3 linked regions of the Drosophila melanogaster genome follow. The gene in region 1 interacts genetically with each later gene. Each region holds a gene or a part of one and is shown in the gene's direction. Other genes may lie near its edges.

Region 1 (7,560 bases):
CGCTATCACCGCTTGATAAGAAATGCGTTAATCTTTATTAAGCGCTGCCGCTGCTAGTGTGTGCGTGTGTATTGGTGTGTATTCCGCTGAGCTCGTGCGTGTGTGCGTTTGCGGAGTATTTACATGGGAGTTTTTCATTTTCTGCTGACAATTTCCGTTGGAAACTTTTCGCCAAGGAGGTGCTAACACTAGCAAAACTGGCAAAGTCCAAACGGAAAATGTAATTTATGCAGAAAGCCGGAGAAACAGAAGCACAGAGAGTATGAGAACAGTCAGAAGAAGAAATAGAAAAATCGGACCAAATCTACAACAACAGCTTGTTGGATGACTCAATATTGCAGTGAAATAAAGGCTCTTTTGTATCAAGGAAAATAGGAAATGATTAATACAGGAATATTTCCAAGTTGCAAGACAGTTGGTAAATAACAGAGTCATAATCACAGCGTTCGGTAATATATTTAGTTTAACATTAGGTTAAACTAATTTTAGTTATTTTATATTTAGTTTAACATTAGGTTAAACTAATTTATTGAATAAATAAAGTCTGTATATTTGGATTTGAAGCATATCCATATATTACCGAGAATAATAAAATTATGCTGCATCATACATACAATCGGATTTATAAAGATTTTGATAAGCTAAGGTGAAGTAGAAATATAAAAAATAGGATTTAGTAGTGAAATAGTCCTCTTAAGATACTTTTCCTGATGACCGTTGGTTGAATGTTTTCAGTTTAATTTAAATAATAGGCATTTGATATAAATAAGCTTCGTCTATATTGAAAACAATACACCTACACTTAAGGCAACCAAATTTGCAGTTAGTATTTCCAATTGGCGACCGTAAAGGTAAACAAAAATGTAAACTGTTGCAGACAGCAAATGCGGTAAATCGCAAAAATCGTAAATAAATCCTAAGATTGTGCCAAAATAAAACCGTTTTAAAGGTTATTCATAGTAGCAAGTGCAAGTTTGTCGGTCGAAAATGGCAACCCTGGCGAGACAGAGCGAACAAGTGTGAGCAAGAGCATCAGAGAGAGGGCAGAGGAGATCAGTTGTTGTGATAATGCAACGGGTGAAGAAAACAAATGCAAAAAGTTTCTGCGTGTGAGCGCGAAAGTGCGTGAGCGGCGGTCCAAACAAAAACAAAAGCGCGAAGCAAAAATGGTTTTCTTTTTGTTTCAGTTTATGTTCCTATTGTTGTTGGTTGGTAGGTTTTTTTGCTTTTCCAACGACGTGACAAGTGCAAAGAGCGCCAAATTGTACATTTTTATGCATGGGCCGCCAGTGCATTGTGAAACTTTTCCGACTTTGCCTTTATGGCTGTGCATTTGTTTTATCACTGCAGCACTTTTGCCATTGCGATCGTGTGGGTGCCGCTACTTTGTGTGTGTGCATTTGTGTCTGCGTTTTCGAAAGAGCAATTCAGAACGCAATTAACACTGACGGCGCCCATGCTGGTTATCAATTAAATCACATATTCACTTTGTACCATTTTACTAAAAACGAATAAAGAACCTCATCATGTTGCTCTTTCCAAACGGTTATTTCGAATTTACCGCTTCTCTGGCTCCGCGATTCGTCCGCGTTTCCCGTTTTCCGTCGCGACTACCTACCCGATTTTGAATATGTGATGTAGCAGTGTGGCCAGTGCGTTGTGCCAATTTACCGGAACTTTTTGTCTTCAACATTCCTTGGTATTTTTAAGTAATTCTAGCGCGGTCACACGGCTCTGGCGCTCTCTTAATTATTCTCTTGAATGTAGGTAGCGGTGACATCCACCACGCTCAGCGAGGACAACCGCATATTTTAAATTACACTTATACATGTTGAATTTATTTCCTTACTCTGCGTGTCAGAATCAGCGTTGATATTTTATGGCAGTTTTATAAAATACATCATAAACTATTAAATATATATATTTCTATACAGGCATTGTAAGTAATACAGCTGTTTCTTGATGCCAGGGAGTCAAGACCTGAACCAGTTCCTTAGGCCCGAACTACTGCTCGTCATCCCTGAAGAACAAAGTTTACTGCAATCGAAAGCAATTGTTTATTAAGCTGCAAATATACTCGTGAAAAAAATCAAAACAACCATGAACAACAAGTGTTGCAACTATTACTAACTAGTCGCTAGTTTAAAGCAAAGTGCGTTGACATTAACCAGTTATGGAAAAACAAAAGCACACGTGAACTAAGAAAACAGATAGAAGGTGGTAAAGGTGCGTTTCTTTTTCTGCTAATAATGTAGATAGTGTCTAATAGATTAATTTTCGCGGAAATCAGATCGGGAAACCAGTGGAGCCTGGGAAAATGCCCTGTTGGAGCTCCCAAAGGCCAAGTGGCGTCACTAAAAACATCGTATGATCCGGTCGAGCCCTCTGATTGGTTGAAAGCGCTTACGCATGCTTTCCCGGTCGCGTATGTGTGTGTGCAGTGCACAGTGGGCCAAAAGCGAAGTAAAAGCTTAGACCGTTTAAAAATATTCGCCTCTATTGCAATTTGCATTAGTCTAGCAAAACTTGATATAGCCAAAATGATCTCAAGATATTATATTTTGTTCCTATTTTAACTACGAGCAAACAACAAACAAACAAAAACAAGTTAACACATATGCCATTTTCAGGTCCGACTGTGATTCACTTTAGGTTTGAGTACAATTAAAAGATTTATTTTAACTTTGTTACGTATATTACAAATTTAATTATAAAAACCCCTTTTAATCTGTTATTAAAGCTGCAAGTGGCCACTGTGGAAAAAGGGTAATTAAATGAATTAATGTGATTATAAACATATTAATATTTGTTTTTTCCGGCACCAACATACTTGTCCCACTGTTGTTATTGCGCCGCATAGAACTTTAATAAACAATCCTCAAATGTACAAACATACATACATAAATATGCACATACGTGGGCCCGCCAGTATTTAATTACGAACCGTTTTTGTCCCTTTCATCAGCAGCATTCGCAATGGACACGACACTGATGAACTTAATAGACGCTCCGCTGGACGAGTCCATGGATTTGTTCAAAGCGGAGGATGTCTTCGAACCGTTCGACGCCGACCTGCACTCGGACATGCTGGACATCATCCTCAACGACATGGACCTGGCGCCGACGCAGATGTACAACATGCTGCTGGACGAGCCTCGAACGCATACCCAGCAGACGCAGTCCGTGGATCAGCAGCCGCAATCCGTCGAGCAACAGCCGCACGTGAAAAGCGAGCACTCTTCGCCAGTGCACATCAAGGAGGAACTGCATCAGCAGCAACAACAGTCGCCGCTTCTCGTCTACAAACCAGATCCCCTCATAGCCACAAGCTACAATTGTCCCCAGCAACAGCCGACGGGCCTTTTGAAGGCCGCCCAACCAACAGCCACCATACATCACATGGACGCCCAGCGGATGCCGCCGAACACGGCGGTGTATCCCCCATCTCTGGGCAGTAGCTTTGTCTACCAGTCCATGTCCCCGCCCACGTCGCCGGTGGAGTCTGCGAACCAGAATGTCAATGTCATGCAGCCCGTTGCTGCAACTCCTGCTCCCGCTTCTGCTCCTTTGCCCCAGCAGTCGTATCCGCAACCCTTCATTACGTACAACTCTAAGGCCGGAATGACTTCCGATGAAGCCATGTACTTCCTCTTGCAGCCCACGGTAGCCAGTCCAACCCCATCTCCACCTGTGGCTCCACCACCGACAAGCACAGGTAGTCGGGCCAGCAAGGTGCGAGTGGCACCACTGGCTCCGTCACCTGCCGCTATGGAAGTCCAGGGCAAGGTACCTATCAACCGGGTTCAACCCAAGGTGAAGGAAGTAAAGCGCTCGGCCCACAACGCCATCGAGCGGCGCTATCGCACCTCAATCAACGACAAGATTAACGAGTTGAAGAACTTGGTAGTGGGAGAGCAGGCCAAGCTGAACAAGTCCGCAGTGTTGCGGAAATCCATAGACAAGATTCGGGATCTGCAACGCCAGAATCACGATCTGAAGGCAGAGTTGCAGCGCCTGCAGAGGGAGCTAATGGCACGCGACGGCTCCAAGGTGAAGGATTTACTTCAGCTGGGCACTCGGCCTGGTAGAGCATCCAAGAAGCGCCGCGAGAGCTCGCAGACCTTTACCACGGATGCCGGACTGACGCCGCCACGCAGCGATGAATCGGATCCTTCGCTCTCGCCCATGCACTCGGACATCTCGTTGCCGCCATCACCCTATGGTGGATCCACCGCCAGCTGTAGCAGTGGCAGCAGCAGCAGCAATGAAGAACCACTGGTGGTGCCCAGCTCTATGCGCGGCATGGCCACCCACTCTCGCCTCGGACTCTGCATGTTTATGTTCGCCATCCTGGCCGTCAATCCCTTCAAGACCTTTCTCCAGCGCGGCCACTATGACAGTAATGACGATCTTGGCGACATGAGCGGTCAAAGACGCATTCTCTCTTACGACGTGGAAGGTAGCTAGCCTAGCATCCAGATGTTGTTAAATATTGCTAATGGGTTTCTCCTTGATTTAGGTGAAGGTTTTGCTGTCTGGCAGCAGAGTTCCTGGATATGGCTATTGAACTTCACACTGATGCTTGGATGCTTGGTGAAATTGCTGGTTTACGGTGATCCGCAGCTGGACGCGCAAACGGACGCCTACTGCCAGCACAGGCAGCGGGCTGACTTCTATTTTAGCCAAGGACAGTCGTCTCAGGCCTACGCCGGTTACCTCAACTGTCTGCATATGTTTGGATTAAGTCTACCGGCGTCGCGCTTGGAGTGTTACTTGCAGACCACGTGGCAGTTCCTTCGTTTTCTTTTCCATCGCCTCTGGCTGGGTCGGGTGCTGTCACGGCGGTCCGGTGGGCTGTTTAGCAACGCCGCCAGCAGGAAACAGGCGCTGGCATCTGCACGCGAACTGGCCCTGCTCTTCAACCGACTGAATCAATTGCAACTGACTGGAAATGGAAGCCGCGGTGACATGAACGGCATTATGATGGCACTATTCGCAAGCAACATGGCTGAAGTGGCGCACAATCTACTGACACCGCGCGAGACCATCTGCATCCACGTAATGACAGCGTTGCGAATGAAGCGCAGTGCCCCAAAATGGTTGCAACAGCTCTTCGCCCGATACTACATGAGCCGGGCTCGTCAAGAGTGCGGTCTCACTAGGGCCACCGAGCAAACGCAGGAGCTACGTTGGGCATTCACAGCCTATGGATATCGCTACTGCGCCACGCACGTCTTCACGTACGATCTGAGCGACTCCGGCGAGCAGGATGGATTCTTCACACGTCTTAGGAATCCATGTGATCCCGCTGCCCACGTCATTAAGGTAAGTTGGACTGAATTTCTAGTGTATCGCACACAATTCAAAACTAATTGTTTCTTTTCCAATAATCAGCAATATCGAGAGCATTTGCTGTTTAAAGCCATTCAGTGTCTGGTAGGAGCGGGCCACAAATCGGGAGGCCTGCCCACATCTTCTGTCAGCGGAGAGGCGGAACAGTTGCAGCAACAGCAGCACAGCGGCACCATTGTCAGCAATGTTCTTAAGTACACGTCCCTCCTTAAGGACACTCTCTGGGCTGATGAGGATGAGCGGGATACAAACGTGGTGTGGTGGGCCGATGTTTTGGAGACCGCAGTGCACTGGCTCCTTGGTGAAGACACGCTGGCCGAGCAATTGTACGGCAGGATCAAGCAAATGCCCACGCAGCTGCAACAGTGCGGCGAAAACGATCATCTGCCCAAGGCGCTGCATGCTGTGCTGCGAGCTAAGATGATCTTACTAAAGTGAGTAAAACTAGAACAACTAATGAAAAGAACAAAACTAATCATCGCACACCTTTGCAGAAACAATGGCAACGCACTGGACAAAAGTCTCAAGCAATTGGTAAACATCCTCTGCGATGAGTCGAGTGTGGAGCTCCAAGAGTGCTTGACTGTCAACCGGATCACCGACGCCAAGGGTATAAAGCTGGTAAGAATGTGTGCACCCCGAACAATCAGTTTTTGGCGACTGAGTGCCACCAGACTCTTCCTCTGGAGATGACACGAAGGTGCATTGTAGTCGCATTGTCTGTCCCAATTGCTTCAGGCAATACAACTTCAGTGCAAGCTCTGTGCATTTCACATACAACGCCGAATGTCTCTGGCAAAAGTCGCCAAGTTTTAAGAGCGCACTAATCATTATTTCTTCTATGCAGCTTTTCCAGTTGCTTACCTGCGATTGGCTGCTCGAAACTAGGACTGCTCTGTGGGAACTGGAACACATGAATATGGAGGACGATGGCTTCTACCAAGTGCCAGGTGAAGTGCTCGAGAAGTTCCAGACCGATTTGAACTCGTTGCGCAACATTGTGGAGAATATACCGGTATATGCAAATCCTTACCCTTCCAATATGTCTGTTCCGTAACCTGAGCTTGTGTAAACTTTTGCCATTACAGAACGCCCAATCGCGCATATATTTGTACGAGGCAGTTTGTCGCCTGATGGCTGGAGCCTCACCGTGTCCAACGCAACAGCTCTTGGACAGGAGTCTGCGATCACGCAACGCCCACTCGTCCATCTTCTGCGGCAGCAAGGATCGGCGGCAGCAGAACTTCGTGGGCGGAGAGCGGGAACGGGCTTCGGCCATGTACGTGGCCTGCAAGTATCTCCCGCCTGCGCTGCTCAGCTCCCCGGGTGAACGTGCTGGCATGTTAGCCGAGGCGGCCAAGACCCTGGAGAAGGTGGGCGACAAGCGAAAGCTCAAGGAGTGCTACCAGCTGATGAAGTCGCTGGGCAACGGCATTGGCAGCGTGAAGGCTTAGGATAGTAGTGAAGTACATAATAAGTGGCACGAACGTGGTGTGGATTTTCAGCAAATGAATACCCGTTTGCTATTCAAAAGAATTACAAATGCCTAGGTCTTTATAATTACGCTATTCCTCTGTTTTCCACGCCCGGTTATGCTTAGATTGTAATTTTAAAATTATTTAATATGGACATTTTATTTGTTTATTATTTACCGTACTTGTTAAACGTATTTATAACAATAAATATTTTAACAGATTTACAAGGCCTTTTATTGGTTACCGGTGCATGCTCCTAATTTGTTAAATATGTACATAATTCATGGAAAACGTATTAGTAGCGTATGCAATCTTTTTCCTTATATAAAATGAAATATTCTTCCATTCGCGTCGGTCATTTTGCGTCGGCGGAGTTTTGTTAGTCGGGTGCATCACAGGGTGAGCTACCAAGCACTATATATATATATACAAAAACAGAATGTATATGTATAATAATAATACACACAGAAAATAATATAAATTCCTCAGGCACACTTCAAGGGAAAAAATCTGTGAAATGGAAAACTTGCTGGTAGAGTCATATTACTTTAGCACTGTGCTTAGTTTTTTTGGTATGTTGTCCTTTTGTTCAGCATGGACAACCTTTTAAAAAATATAGTTAGCTCAGCAGTTCTTCGCGGACTCGCATGCCACTTGTATTTTTTGGCACCCGGCGTTTGATTTTCGTCTGGAAACGGTTCATCCAATGCCATTAATAATCATGGACTGGCAC
Region 2 (4,822 bases), on another chromosome or scaffold:
GAATAAATTATTAAAAACAAAAACTAGCAATGCTATATTCCATTGGCCATCACACTTTCTCCAAGTGCAAGGTTAAGGTGACAGGGGCGATAGGTTGCCGCCGGAACAAACGACTTACTTGTGTCGTCGTATCTAAGGAGTTTTCATGTGGGGAGAACTAGTGGGAGTTGGGTGAGAGAGCGCGGGCGAGCCAGAAAGAGAGAGAGAGAGTGGGCAGAGTGCACAGTGGAGCAATGCGGTGAAACCGAAATAGAACCGTGAGTCAGATTAATTAATTCGCTGTGCACTTGGTAACTTATTGATGGGACCGCAAGGATTGACAAATGAAGGATGGCTGGCTCATTACTAATTGATAAATGATCGAAAGCTTGGATTTTCTTTTCTTTAAATTGATGGGGATTAAGGTAAATGGTTTACATAATTACTTTATTGCCGTCGTAAAAATGAGAAATAGGATATACGGAATCCTTAAAATATTACAGGAAGGGATAAAATCGTAATTGTTCTTTTTTTTTACGAGCGACCAAACGATCGTTAATTGTGGTTAACCCTAGAAAACCTCTTAGGGGTTGCTACGAGTGAGGACTCAATACTTAATCTAGCCCAACCAAATTTTGCTACACAGTTAACTTTGGTTAATCATGAGTTCATTAATGTTTTTATGTTTTAAAGGACCTAAATATGCAATAGATATCAGGTATGAATTATAAATTCATTTGCATATGTTTGTGCATACATTTTTATTTTTTTGTATTCATCAGCACCGAAGTTCAAAATTGTTCTCTGTGTATGGGTATTTGTCTACCAACCAATTAGTGGCTACTGTCTACCTGGCCTGCGACCTTTGAACTTGCTGTGTGGCCGGCAAGTGGCAACAGTTGGTCGGCCATAGAGCGGCTCTATAAAGATCTATTTTCCCCTTACTCTCTGTCTCTCTCTCTCTCTCTGTCTGTTTGTAGCTCTCTCTTTTTTCCCATAAGATGATTTCTGAACGCAGATAATTATTCTTATTCTTATTATATTTTTGTATTAATTTGAGCCAATAATTTTGCCTTTTTCCAAAATTAGTTAAGCATAATAATTTCTATTATATTTCTTATTAATTTAGAAACGTGTTCAGCTCAAAGCTAAACAAAAACATGTCAAAAGAAACGGAATTTTTGTTCAGTGCAATAAGATCTCTGAGCGGATCTATTCAACAGTCCAAGTTCTACGTCGTCATCATGATGGTGTAAACACATTTGCCAAATCACATCACAGCCCACTGTTGAGCCGGTCTTGTGAGAGTGCGATAGAGAGGGGTCGCCCAGGCCAAGACAGAGAGACAGAGAAAGAGACAGGTGGAGAGAGAGGGAAGGCTATTGCCCGGCAACTGCTAATTGGGATGGCTAAATGCTGCATTGCATCCTCTGCCGCGATTCCTGCTGCACTTACGGTGCATCGTCGTCTATCCTGGCGCTGCCCACGCACGAAGAGAGAAGTTCACACTCTTCCCGCCTTCCGCCGGCGGTACAGAGCAAAAAAAAATTTTATTAATTTCGGTTAATTACAAATTTGTACCAGGGACTTAAGCTAACGAATTTCAGAACCGAAACATTCATAAGCTTATGCTTAACAACGTAATTATATAAAATAAATAAAATTGGGAATTTGCTAGCATGCCAAGCATGTGATGTGTAATGTGATCCTTGGTCAAGAGATTTACATTCTCTCTTGCTTGCCCAATGCAAATTTCTCTCAGTGTACGGGCCAGCTCTCTCCGACCATCTCGCTCTCGTTCCGCCGTTTTGCTTTGCCAGTGACTTTGCTTTGCTTTGGCGTAGAGAATGCTATAAAGCAGACCGCAGCAGTGGAATAGCAGCAAGTCGACTGCTGGCCGCGTAACAGTAAACACACCAACGAGCGGACGTACACGGAGCGAAAGAAGAAGTTGGCTACCACGAAAGAGTTATTGTTTGTTAGAAACACCAAGCGCAGCAGCAGCAGCAGCAGTACAAATATTATTGTGTGCCGTCCGAAGAGAACAGCTGAGCCACACGCTGTTTTTTAACGCTGTTCCGTTCTGCGGCACTTGCTGTTTGTTATCCGTATCCGTCGTGTTTCGTCGTCGTATTTGAACTCTCTTTTTGTTACTGTGCATATATTTTTGAAATCTCTGTGCTGCACACAGCGCAGGGGGAAAAGTGCTAGAATTAGCAGATCATCAAGACATCTGGCTAACCTGTGATTTCCAACACACCCGAAGGCAAATTGGCAACAAGTTACCACCGTAAGTCTCGTGTCGATCAACAAGTGAAGATGTTAGTTAAGTGTGGCAAAAGAACTGAACAAGAATTTATTGCATTTGCAAATATACATATGTACTATACCGATAGGAACGCGTTTTAAGAAAGTAATCATGCTTTTAATTTACGTGATGTGTGACTGTTATTTGTGATTCAATATAAGAAGATTAAGAAGATTAATAAGATTTTGTGAAATTTTCAAACTATGCCCAAGACAAATGTAGCCCACTGTTTTGGGGGTAGGGGATTTTCAGAAGCTTTGCTTTTGAGCATAAACCGTAATTAGAAGGCATTAAAAACGTGTGATTTGGAAATTCGTGAATTAAACCTTATAGGATTTCTCTCTCTCTCTCTCTCTGTGAGAGAGTGTGAGAACCCAAATTGAGTTTAAGAATTAGCTGAAGTTTCCATAATAACCACTGGCCAAGTGATTAGTTCACATGGTGGGTGGAATCCGTCTAGTCCAAACCATAATCCCCTGCCCAGTCTGATCTGATCCCGGAACCAAATTGAGTTTTGCCAAAGGTTTCAGCATTTTTCATGTGCATTTTTTTTTCATCTAACCATCGACGGGGAGCAGAAAATGTTTACCAAATTGAATTACACATTTTTATGATGTGCTGGTGCCTTGCTCTTCCCCCTTCCTCAAAGCCACCGCCACCCCGCCGCCTGACAGGCCTCAGGTGCTGTCCTGAATCTGGAAATCCGTGTGTCCGGGTGCCGAAGCCGGAATGGAAGGAGTCCACGTTTTCGAGAGCGGGAATGCATTTATGGCGCCGCCATTAGGGTGGACCAGTAAATTAGGTTAATTGTAGAAAGTAATCGAAAGCTTTAACAGCACCAAATTGCATATTCTGAATCAAGGAGACTGTATTTTTCCCACACTGCAAGTCACATTTCAATATGTAAGTGCTGCATTGAATATGTACATGTTCAACTTATAAATGTGTATTCTATATATATATATATATAGGCACATAATCTATAATCTGTTTTGTAATCACTACTGCTTTTTGCAACTTTATGGTAAAAAATACTTTGTAAATCCTTTGGTGTGCACCAAAATGAGCATGAATGCATAAGCAAACATAAGCGCTTAATTATGAAAACATACCGATTTAACTAGAGTCCTGGATTATAATTGACCGATTATTTGATTAAAAGGCATCCGAGGCATTCAAGAGCAACCAAATATTGTTGGCCGTTGATAACCATTGCTGGTTGCCAAGGTTTCCATAGTATTTGCAATCGGCTCAGAAGTGAAATGCTCTGTCTGAAATTCCGACTTAACTCCCCACCAGATAACCTGTTGCATTTCGCAATGGGGTAAACAATGGAATCACCTGTGCGCCCCCACATTTTGGCCTTCATATGGAAGCACATTCGTGCGCATTCATCTGGAAAATTGATGGTAAATTTCGCATTTAGTTTGATTCTCAATTGAATCAACAGTTCTAAGCCTACTGCTTACGTGTTTGTGCGATGATGATGATGATGTATAATGGTCTATCCACCTTTCGCAAATTTGCAATGGACAAGGAGGCGGTGCAAAGGTCTGTACATAAGTCCAGAATCTCAAGGGGTGATAAGCCTAAAAAAAAGGCAGACTGTTATATGTCAGATACTCGTAGATAGTTAGAGGGGTTTTTCAATGAAAAACTTAGAAGTGTTATTTTGCCTTCTGACACTTCACAATGAATATTCAGAAAAAAAAAAATGGGGAATTAACAAAGCAATATGATTATGATATGATATTATATCAATAGTTTTATTTATCAACATTCAGGTGTGCACTAATTTCTTGCCGCCAAAAACAAAGCCAATCAATAATTTATGTAGATAAGCATTTTGCTTATAACCATGCATTTTCATTATTGAATTGTCATTTTTTATCTTAGTTGAACCCAACTCCGCCTCCTCCGCGTAGATCGTGTGTCAGCCACTTGTCTTGTTTGACAGCACACCCAAGTGGCATTAGCATTTGGGGACTGAAACTGGAACCATTGGCCAGTTTGCCCAAGAGAATTTCTGGGATTGGTTTTGGGTTTCTCCAGTGCACCGCAGTGCACTCCTCTCGGGCCACCACTTCAGTTCACGGAAGGCACCACTTGGTGGGAGTCGGCTTGAAGTACGTGAGTTTATTTGGCTGAGCACAAAAATCAGAGACTCGAACAACACACAAGATCGAAAACAAAAAACAAAATTAAACAAAAAATATAATAAAATAAAAGAAGTGAAGTGAAGAGCAGGGTCGAGAGGAGAGGAGGGGAGAAGTGCCTAGAAATGGTCTGAAATGTGCATTAAACGCTTTGCATAGGAAAGCGACATGGACATGGTATGGGGATTGCGCCGGAGATTGACATTCCCATTCCCATTCCCGTTCGTATTCCTATTCCATTGGGCTACCCACTCCTATTTCCATTTCCCATTCCCTAACCCAAATCCCTACTATACCATTTTCACTTCGAGAATCGCAGAGAACACACAAAACACACATGTGAGAATGTGCCGGGTGTTGGGATTATTTTGTGGCCGGG
Region 3 (7,900 bases), on another chromosome or scaffold:
CAGCGGCCAGGGCGTGTCCCATCTCGTGCACCACCAAGCAGAGCACAAGGGTTGTGATGTAGTATCCGATCTCCTCCAACGGCAAGTTGACGCCGGGCAGTAGAATTTCCAGCTGCACAGGGACTCCAACGGGCGAGGATACAGACGAAGAGCTGTCTTGTTCACCACTGCTGAAGATAGTGGCAATGAGCAGGATCAGACCGATCGGGAGCAGAGAAAAGGTGACCAGGACTCCTACATTAAAGCTGGTGATCATTACTCTCCGGGTGCAGCTGTTACCGGCAGATCCCCAGCGTAGGAGGGTCCTGTTAAAGGCACTCGTGTGCCAGTGGAGGCTCATGAAATTTATACTCAGCCCGGTGTTCTTGAGGAAGGCATCGTACGGGTAGTGCATGCAACTCTAAGGGATTACATTAAGTATCTGGACGTACTTTGGCTGGATATACTACACCTTGAAGAAGCGGTCGAAAAAGTAAAGAACGCCATAAAGCGATGCCAGTACTATGAAGAACACGAAGGGATCCATGGCTGGTGAGGTCTCAAGATGTCATTGGTTTGTTGGGATTAGGATGGTGATGCGGATTCTACAGTTGGGGGTCCTCCGGTTGCTGGACGTCACTTGCGAATGCTAGTAGTCCCTACCGGACGGGATTCCTTCCCGAAATCTTACTCCTCTGGTCCCGACTCCTTATACCAGCAATGCTGTGTAGTCCAGACCAGAAATCAGCATTAATCACGTCTGGGAATCTTGTGCGCAAATTAACCTGCGTAAAAAATCGAAATACCAAAAGCTAATCGCAATCGATTGCAGAACTTATCGATGGCCGCTTTATCAATAATACCGATAAGCAAGCTTATTTGGGCGCGAAAGTTTTGAACATTTTCAACTATTCAACGTCAAACAAAGAAAACTGTTGAACAACTCAAAAACAACAATTAAAATTTTTTTATGAAAATGATTTGCTTTCAATATAAAAAAATTCAAAATCCATTGTGTTAAGTGACTTAAAATACATCAAACACATGAGCGAACAGGAATTCTCATATAAGAGACTTTTGCCGACTTGCAGGCTGATCGTCTCCATTATGGCCTGCGTATCCTGTATATCGGGCGTGGCTGCCGGCTATCTTTTCATGACCAGTTTATCAGGTGTCTCTGAAGCGGTAAAGATTGTGTGGACCACCGGATCGGCTCTCTATGCATTATCCTCGCTCCTGTTGATTATTGCAGTTTGGAAGGTTAACCTGAAGCAAAATTAATTGAGGAAATATTCTTAAGAATCCTGTGATTTTGCAGTTCATTAAATGGCTGGCCTATCCATACATGTGCATGCTGCTCATGGCCATTGCCGTCTACACGATGATCCTGCAGTGGCTACTCAAGAACCTACCGGCTGCCGTTTTCTCATCTGTGGCCATCAGCTTTATATTTCTTGGAGTGGCGTTGAACATGACCAAAAGCCTGGAAGAACTACGCACTTCTCTATAGAGCAATGCAAAGTGTTCTCGTTTAGTTTTGGATTTATATTATAAATTTGCCGTGCAGTAATCAAGAGCAACGAATACACCTACTTTGATTAAAATTGAAAAATTATAGGTATATGAAAATCTAGCATGAGAAATTGTAAAGTTACATTTGTTAAATTTGTGTGACTTTAATTCGTAAGGCAATTCGTAATTCATTCATCAGCTGTTTTCAGAAATAAAAGTAGGTGGTTCTGGCAACAGGCGGCCAAAAGAACCTAGCAAAACAAAACGGATGAAAACCAATGGAAAGGAAGAGAGGACCTCTTACTCTTGTTTTTCCTTTTTCCATGCCGAAACTCACCACCACCAAGTTCACCTTAACTGAGTTGGGTTTTCAATGGACCTCCAGAGGACATGAGTATCATCAGTTTAGTCGTGAGCTTGAGCAGCAGCAGAACAGTCGCATCCGCCAAAAAGGGCAACAAACGAAGAGTACTCACGAAAAATAAAAAGGCTTTTGCAAAGGGTTTTCCCAATCAGAGAAAGTGTTCAATAGCTTCAGGCGTATTTTTAACCAATTTAACTCACTGGAAGGATCCAATTCGTTCGATTGTGATTGAGTAAGCTAAGAACAAAGGACTTCAGCTGGAATCTCGCCCCATATCGATTTGTTCCAAAAACTGCATATTCGCCAGCGAGTGAGTGAGAGAGTGCGCTTGTGCCGAAAACGGATACGGAAGGGGGCGACAAGGAAGCGGAAGCGGAAACAGCTGCTGCATAAACAATAGTAACAGGGAATACTGTGTGTCACATCAACGCATCATGACGCCAGAGCAGCAAGGATATTGCCCCTAGGAAAACCCATACAAGTTCCTCAAGGAAGCCCTCAAGAAAAAGCGAACGAAAATCGCAATCGATTCGGAGAACAAACCATCAAGACGAACCCGCAAAGGATTCAGTGCCAAAGGAGCCGTTCCGGCAGAAGCAGCAGTAGCAAGAGAGTATTTATTTTGGGCCAACCGGTGAAGGCCCGCGAACGTCAGCTCTTCAGGACTTTAAGGACCCAAAGCAGAGGCAACCCAATGCATTTGGGTGCACAACAACAACGCCCCAAGCAACAACAACAACAGCGCGAGCAACAAGAGAAACATCAAAGGCGTTTCACGTTCAGTAAAGGACGGCAATGTCGTCCCTACAGCGTGACTGGCATTTACAGGTGAGTAGTACTACCCAGCATCCCATTATCCTTACTTTGGGAAGGTCAGGAACCATCCCCCTTGATTCCTCCTCGCTGCCTTTTCTGGGGAGTGGGCCAATGGCAATCGTATTGAGGTAGCTGGAGTTTGGGTTCCTCTGGTGAGCATGCGCACTGGACCAGAGAGTGTTTTACGAGTACGTAAACATTGCAAGCGACAGGAGAATGGGTCAACGTCACAAGTTGCATCCATCTTAGTCGCTTTAGAAGAACGGGGACAAGAAAGTAAACAATACATGCCCCGACTGCTGATGGAAAGACCGAAAACCACAAGCCAAAGTTCAGTCGTGGCATGGTGTTGACCTTTAATGACACCTATTAAATCGAATAGAAGTGTTCATTTCTACTAGTTTTGACACAAATGAAAAGTAACTTTTTATTATGCTTATAATTATACTTACACTTACAATCGTTGATTTTGTAAACACTTAAAACATGAATTTTGAGCCAAATTTAAGTAGGTGTTTACACTCGCATATGGGAGTACAGCATCCCTACACTTAAGCATCAATGTCCTGCTGATTGGGTGAACTAATTGGCCTAGGCCTGTGCAACCTAATATCTATTATTACGGAGGGCTAGCAATTACGGGTGGCTCAACAAGTTGTGCGTCAAGTCCTCCCCACTAGATTCCCTCCCCGACTAGATACCACCCTCGACCAGCCGACTTGAGGCCACCCCTTTCACCTTGACCGCTTATCGTTCAGGCCCACACACGAGCGCCAACTAACTTGGCCCGGGGGAAGGTTCTTCCGTTTCATTAAGCGCTGGCAAAGGCCTTGAAATGTTGGGAAATTGAAAACAACCAGCGATTGCAGAGCTGCCCCAGCGAAAGCTTCCTGACAGCTTAAGCCGGATTCCAGCTGACAGCAGAGGGTGGTCTTGGGGGTTCTTGGCGTCCAGGATATCGTATACCATCGCATGCCACGGCGACGTGGGCCTTTGACATTCGACAAGGTCACTGGCTCTAGGATGCTGTGACTCATGCTCTTGAGGGGGAGTTGCCAAATGCCAAGAGTTGGCCAACGCTCATTAGTCGTGTCAGATGTGTGACTGCATTTTGCACTCGTTCAAGAATATTGCATGCCATCTATTTGGCATATTTCTACCATCAATATGGCTGACAGTTCATAAGCGGCACGAAGTTCGACAAATGACATGCCACGTAAACAAAAGACAAATTTATTAAATTTACTTTCAAAGTTAGAATTCAATTATATAAATTTACTTGGCTTTATTAAGCATAAGTGATGTTATGATTTGTTACATTTACCATGCAATATTTATTCGTTATAATAATTATTGATTATTTGCTCATTAAGAACTGACATGCTTAGATAGGATACTTAAGTAAAAGCAAATAAAAAGGTTGACTAAGGATAGAGCGCTTCACCTAATATATTGTGCATAGGTTTAACCAGCGTTGGGCACCAATCCTTCTTTCTAATGGGCACACACGTCGCATACTTGATATTTGATGCCAGCAATGTATCATATTTCGTATACGTACGTCATTGGAAGTACCAAGAAATAGGTGGGAGCGGGACAACTAAGTGCGAAATAAGAAGCTATTAGGAAATGAGTTATTACGAACTGTTGGTTATAACAATAAGATTGCGACAGCACATAAATATTAAGGGGGCAGGTGTTGAAATCTAATTAGGAATAGTTCAATATGAGGTAAAAATATTAACTGTGCACATATAACATAAAGTTTTAAATGTATATATTAGTTAGTATGTATAGTTGAGCTGTTGGCATGGCTGTAAACCCAATAATACCTTACATCAACTTACCGAATTTCGTTTTTGACTGCTTTCCAATTGTGTCCTTTCTACGAGGGCTTGGCAAAGATTGGCGTCTTATCAGCACGGGTATATTTCCTGGCATTAGCCTTCGGTTCGAGCATTGCATCGTCCTTGGATTGGAGCAAACACCCACCACTGCTCCTTTGGGGCCAATCGAACCCCCCATCAATTTCCGGCAACAAAGACAGAAACTAAAAAAGTGCTGAAAGGCAACCGCATGCCAGACCAGACCCACCTCGCTCTTGACCCTGAGTCGTCGGAAAATGGAGGTTTCGTGGGAGGAAGTGGCAGCGGATCCCGCAGACAAATGGAAAATTCCCAGACGTCATGCCAGCCCGCAAGGCACAGCATGCACCTGCAGCCTGGCATCGATTTAACAAAGTACATATAACAAGAAAATCCGCTCGGTCCGCGGGTAATTACATAGCCCAGCGGAGCGGGAATCGGGAAGGAACTGGATGTTAACTCAATTAAACAAAACGTATTGCATACATTAGGTCGTTGCAGCGATGTCGTCTATAAGGCGGCAGATCGCGTGCGCTCCTCGCATTTCGTTTAGCAATGCAAATTGGGCTAAGTTGTTGCTTCCTTGACCCGCCTCCAGTCGATTTGTCAACAGCCCCGGATTTCTGACGGGGTTTAACCCATTTTTGAATGCTACGGCGGAGGCGGAATTTTTGGATGCACGCCAATTTGGGACATTAACTTTTGATGTCTACTACTTGATAAGAACTTTCGCAATTAAATTGGCCCATTTTCTTGGGTTGCTTACTTCGTTAACTTGTTATGTTATTTAATTGTTATTTAAAAAAAACATCCCTCCATACTCCATACTCCATATCTTAAACACACTTTCATAGATTTATATTAAATATTGCACTAGATAACCAGCATATTTAATGTTTAACGATACAAAAATACTATTTATGTTTTTCGCAGGGTTCCCGGGGATCGGTTTACTGCGCGAGTGAACCGGACCCAACTGGTGGAGTCCAGTACGAGTCGGGAGGGTGCCTTCTCCACACGAAGACGGCTGAGGGCTCCGGCGGAGGGGCGGGCGTGGACGGGTCCGGTGGCGGAGTCGGCCTCGAATGCGGCTCCCTGTTCTCGGTGGTATCAGCGCCGCCGGCTCCACTGCCCGACATCGTTGTGCCCACCGAGATGGATGGCAAACACATGGAGTCCGCCGCCTTCCGCTCCGGATGCTGTTCACCCAACGCCTCGCCCATGCGACGACCCGCCACCCTCAGCCTGGACACGCAATGCTGCCCGAGGACCCTGCACGCCAGCCTGCTGGAGCATCAGATCTCCGAGCTGGAGGAGGACGACAATGAGAACCTGCTGACCGTGTCCAGCATCACGGCGCGACCGTTGATTGCCAAATCGCATGAGCTTCGCAGCAGTCGGAAGTCGGGTTCAGGTTCCGGATCTGGTTTGAATACGGCCCGCAGCAGGTGCGTCCGCCGGGCCAAGGAGCGCGAGCGGGATCGCGTGACCGTCGCCAGGCGTAGCAAGCAAGTGGTCAAGGATCGGGACTCCTCAACGACCACAACGGAGAGCGGTGGTCCGAATGTGGAGCCACCGGACGGCGGTTACGGTTGGTTCATCGTCTTTGGGGCCTTCTCCGTGCAATTCTGGGTGGCCGGACTGGTCAAGTCGTACGGCGTGCTGTATGTGGAGATTATGGAGACATTTCCCAGCTCTACGGCCACCGTGGCCTCCTGGATTCCAGCGATCCTGTCGGCTCTATGTCTGGTCCTGGCCCCGCTGTCCAGTGCTCTTTGCCAGCGATTCTCCTGCCGAACGGTGGTCTTCGTCGGCGGCATTTTCTGCGCCATGGGCATGATACTGAGCTACTTTGCCACCAGTCTGCTGCACCTCCTCCTAACATTTGGCGTACTCACAGGTGCATAATGTATAATCAATTTAAATTTATCCTCATCACATTAGTAATTATATTTATTTAGTTATCATGATGTTTATATTTAACTATTTCTTCACGCCCAGGTATTGGAGGTGGCCTCTCGACTACTCCGGGCATAGTGATAGTGTCCCAATACTTTGACAAGCACCGTGCATTGGCCAATGGAATCTGCGTTTCGGGCACTGCCGCCGGCAGCTTCATCCTACCCGTTCTGATAAAGCACCTCGCGGAGAACTGTGGCTTCCACGGCACTATTCTGATCCTGGGCGGTTGCATGCTTCACGTGTGCGTTTCGGCCACACTTTACCGCCCAATCAGTGCTTACACGGATCAGGACTCGGGCCAGGGACAGGAGGAGACGGCAAAGCCCCTCAACGAAGACATCAATCCGAGCACCACGGGCATTCTGACTACATCCACCTACCTAGACACCTGCGATGTGGGTGCAGGCCACGAGCTGAGCGACAAGTTTATCGAGCATCTGTTCCTGGAGGAGTCCAAGAACCACCTGAACTACTATGCCAGCAAGCAGCCAGGTGGGAGTATTATTTCATCGAGGAAAACTCCAAATAATAAATCCCATTTGGTTACTTAGCCCAGGACAAGTCAGCGCAGGAGAGTGACGACGAGGTAAAGGATATTATTGGCGAGACCACTTTCATCAAGCCCATGAAGAAGGTGCGCAGTTCCGGATTGCTGCACTCCGTCGAAGATCTGAGCACGGACTCCACTTGGGTCTATCGCAAGCACTCCGGCACGGACTCCAATCGCGGAAGTCGTCGTCGGCGCAATGTCTTTGCCAACGACGAGGTGATATCCAAGATACAAGCCCACTTGGAGAAGCCTCTTTCGCCGCCGAGTGTGGTCAGTCGCGGACTCAGCAAGAGCATGGAGATACCCACTCCGGTTAGCAACCTCAGTGATCTCAAGCAGCAGCCGGTGGAGCAGGCGGAGCTCGGCATTCTAGACTCCCAGCTGGTGGAGTCCATTATCGATGGCGACGGCCACCTTGCCGCCGATGAGGATGACGATGACGACGAAGAGCGGGGACCACGCACTTGCTGCGAGCGCATCGAGATGTACCTGGACATCAGTCTGCTGCAGGACCCGAGCTTTATCCTGATGTGCCTATCCGTCACCTTGATGTCCGTCGGCTGTCCCTACATGTTGTACTATCTGCCCGCCCACGTTATTTCAATAGGTATACTATTTAAAATGTTCAAAGTATATTCTTTCGGCGTACGATTTTAAATATTATAAACTTGGTTCATCTTTAGGATACAATAAAAGTGAGGCGGGATACCTGGTGGCCATCAGCGCGGTCCTAGATTTAATTGGGCGCCTTGGACTTGGCTGGCTGTGCGACCTGCAGCTATTCGATCGCAAGAAGACCTACACCTTGTGGTGAGTACCAGATAAGGTTTATTTTTCGATCCAAACTAATCA

What was found. Genes that interact genetically often act in the same process or in processes that back each other up.
Region 2: of SREBP (region 1) and out, changing one suppresses a phenotype caused by changing the other (phenotypic suppression), as found in Drosophila melanogaster (one study listed by BioGRID).
Region 3: of SREBP (region 1) and Sln, changing one suppresses a phenotype caused by changing the other (phenotypic suppression), as found in Drosophila melanogaster (one study listed by BioGRID).

The regions. Positions count from the first base shown.
Region 1 is NT_037436.4:19,791,934-19,799,493, forward strand, and holds SREBP (sterol regulatory element binding protein), read left to right. Parts: upstream 1-2,001; 5' UTR 2,002-2,226; intron 2,227-2,290; exon of another isoform or gene 2,291-2,392; intron 2,393-2,630; 5' UTR 2,631-2,766; intron 2,767-2,965; exon of another isoform or gene 2,966-2,968; 5' UTR 2,969-2,976; coding exon 2,977-4,459; intron 4,460-4,519; coding exon 4,520-5,325; intron 5,326-5,394; coding exon 5,395-5,786; intron 5,787-5,846; coding exon 5,847-5,973; intron 5,974-6,027; exon of another isoform or gene 6,028-6,126; intron 6,127-6,199; coding exon 6,200-6,367; intron 6,368-6,440; coding exon 6,441-6,806; 3' UTR 6,807-7,046; downstream 7,047-7,560. Other genes in the region: Ir76a (ionotropic receptor 76a), read left to right, coding at 7,345-7,399, 7,451-7,560.
Region 2 is NC_004354.4:19,319,103-19,323,924, reverse strand, and holds the start of out (outsiders), read left to right. Parts: upstream 1-1,818; 5' UTR 1,819-2,269; intron 2,270-4,822.
Region 3 is NT_033778.4:11,843,428-11,851,327, forward strand, and holds the start of Sln (silnoon), read left to right. Parts: upstream 1-1,896; 5' UTR 1,897-2,650; coding exon 2,651-2,683; intron 2,684-5,469; coding exon 5,470-6,436; intron 6,437-6,537; coding exon 6,538-6,990; intron 6,991-7,049; coding exon 7,050-7,655; intron 7,656-7,731; coding exon 7,732-7,858; intron 7,859-7,900. Other genes in the region: S2P (site-2 protease), read right to left, coding at 1-400, 452-526; CG43190 (uncharacterized protein), read left to right, coding at 1,087-1,239, 1,298-1,489.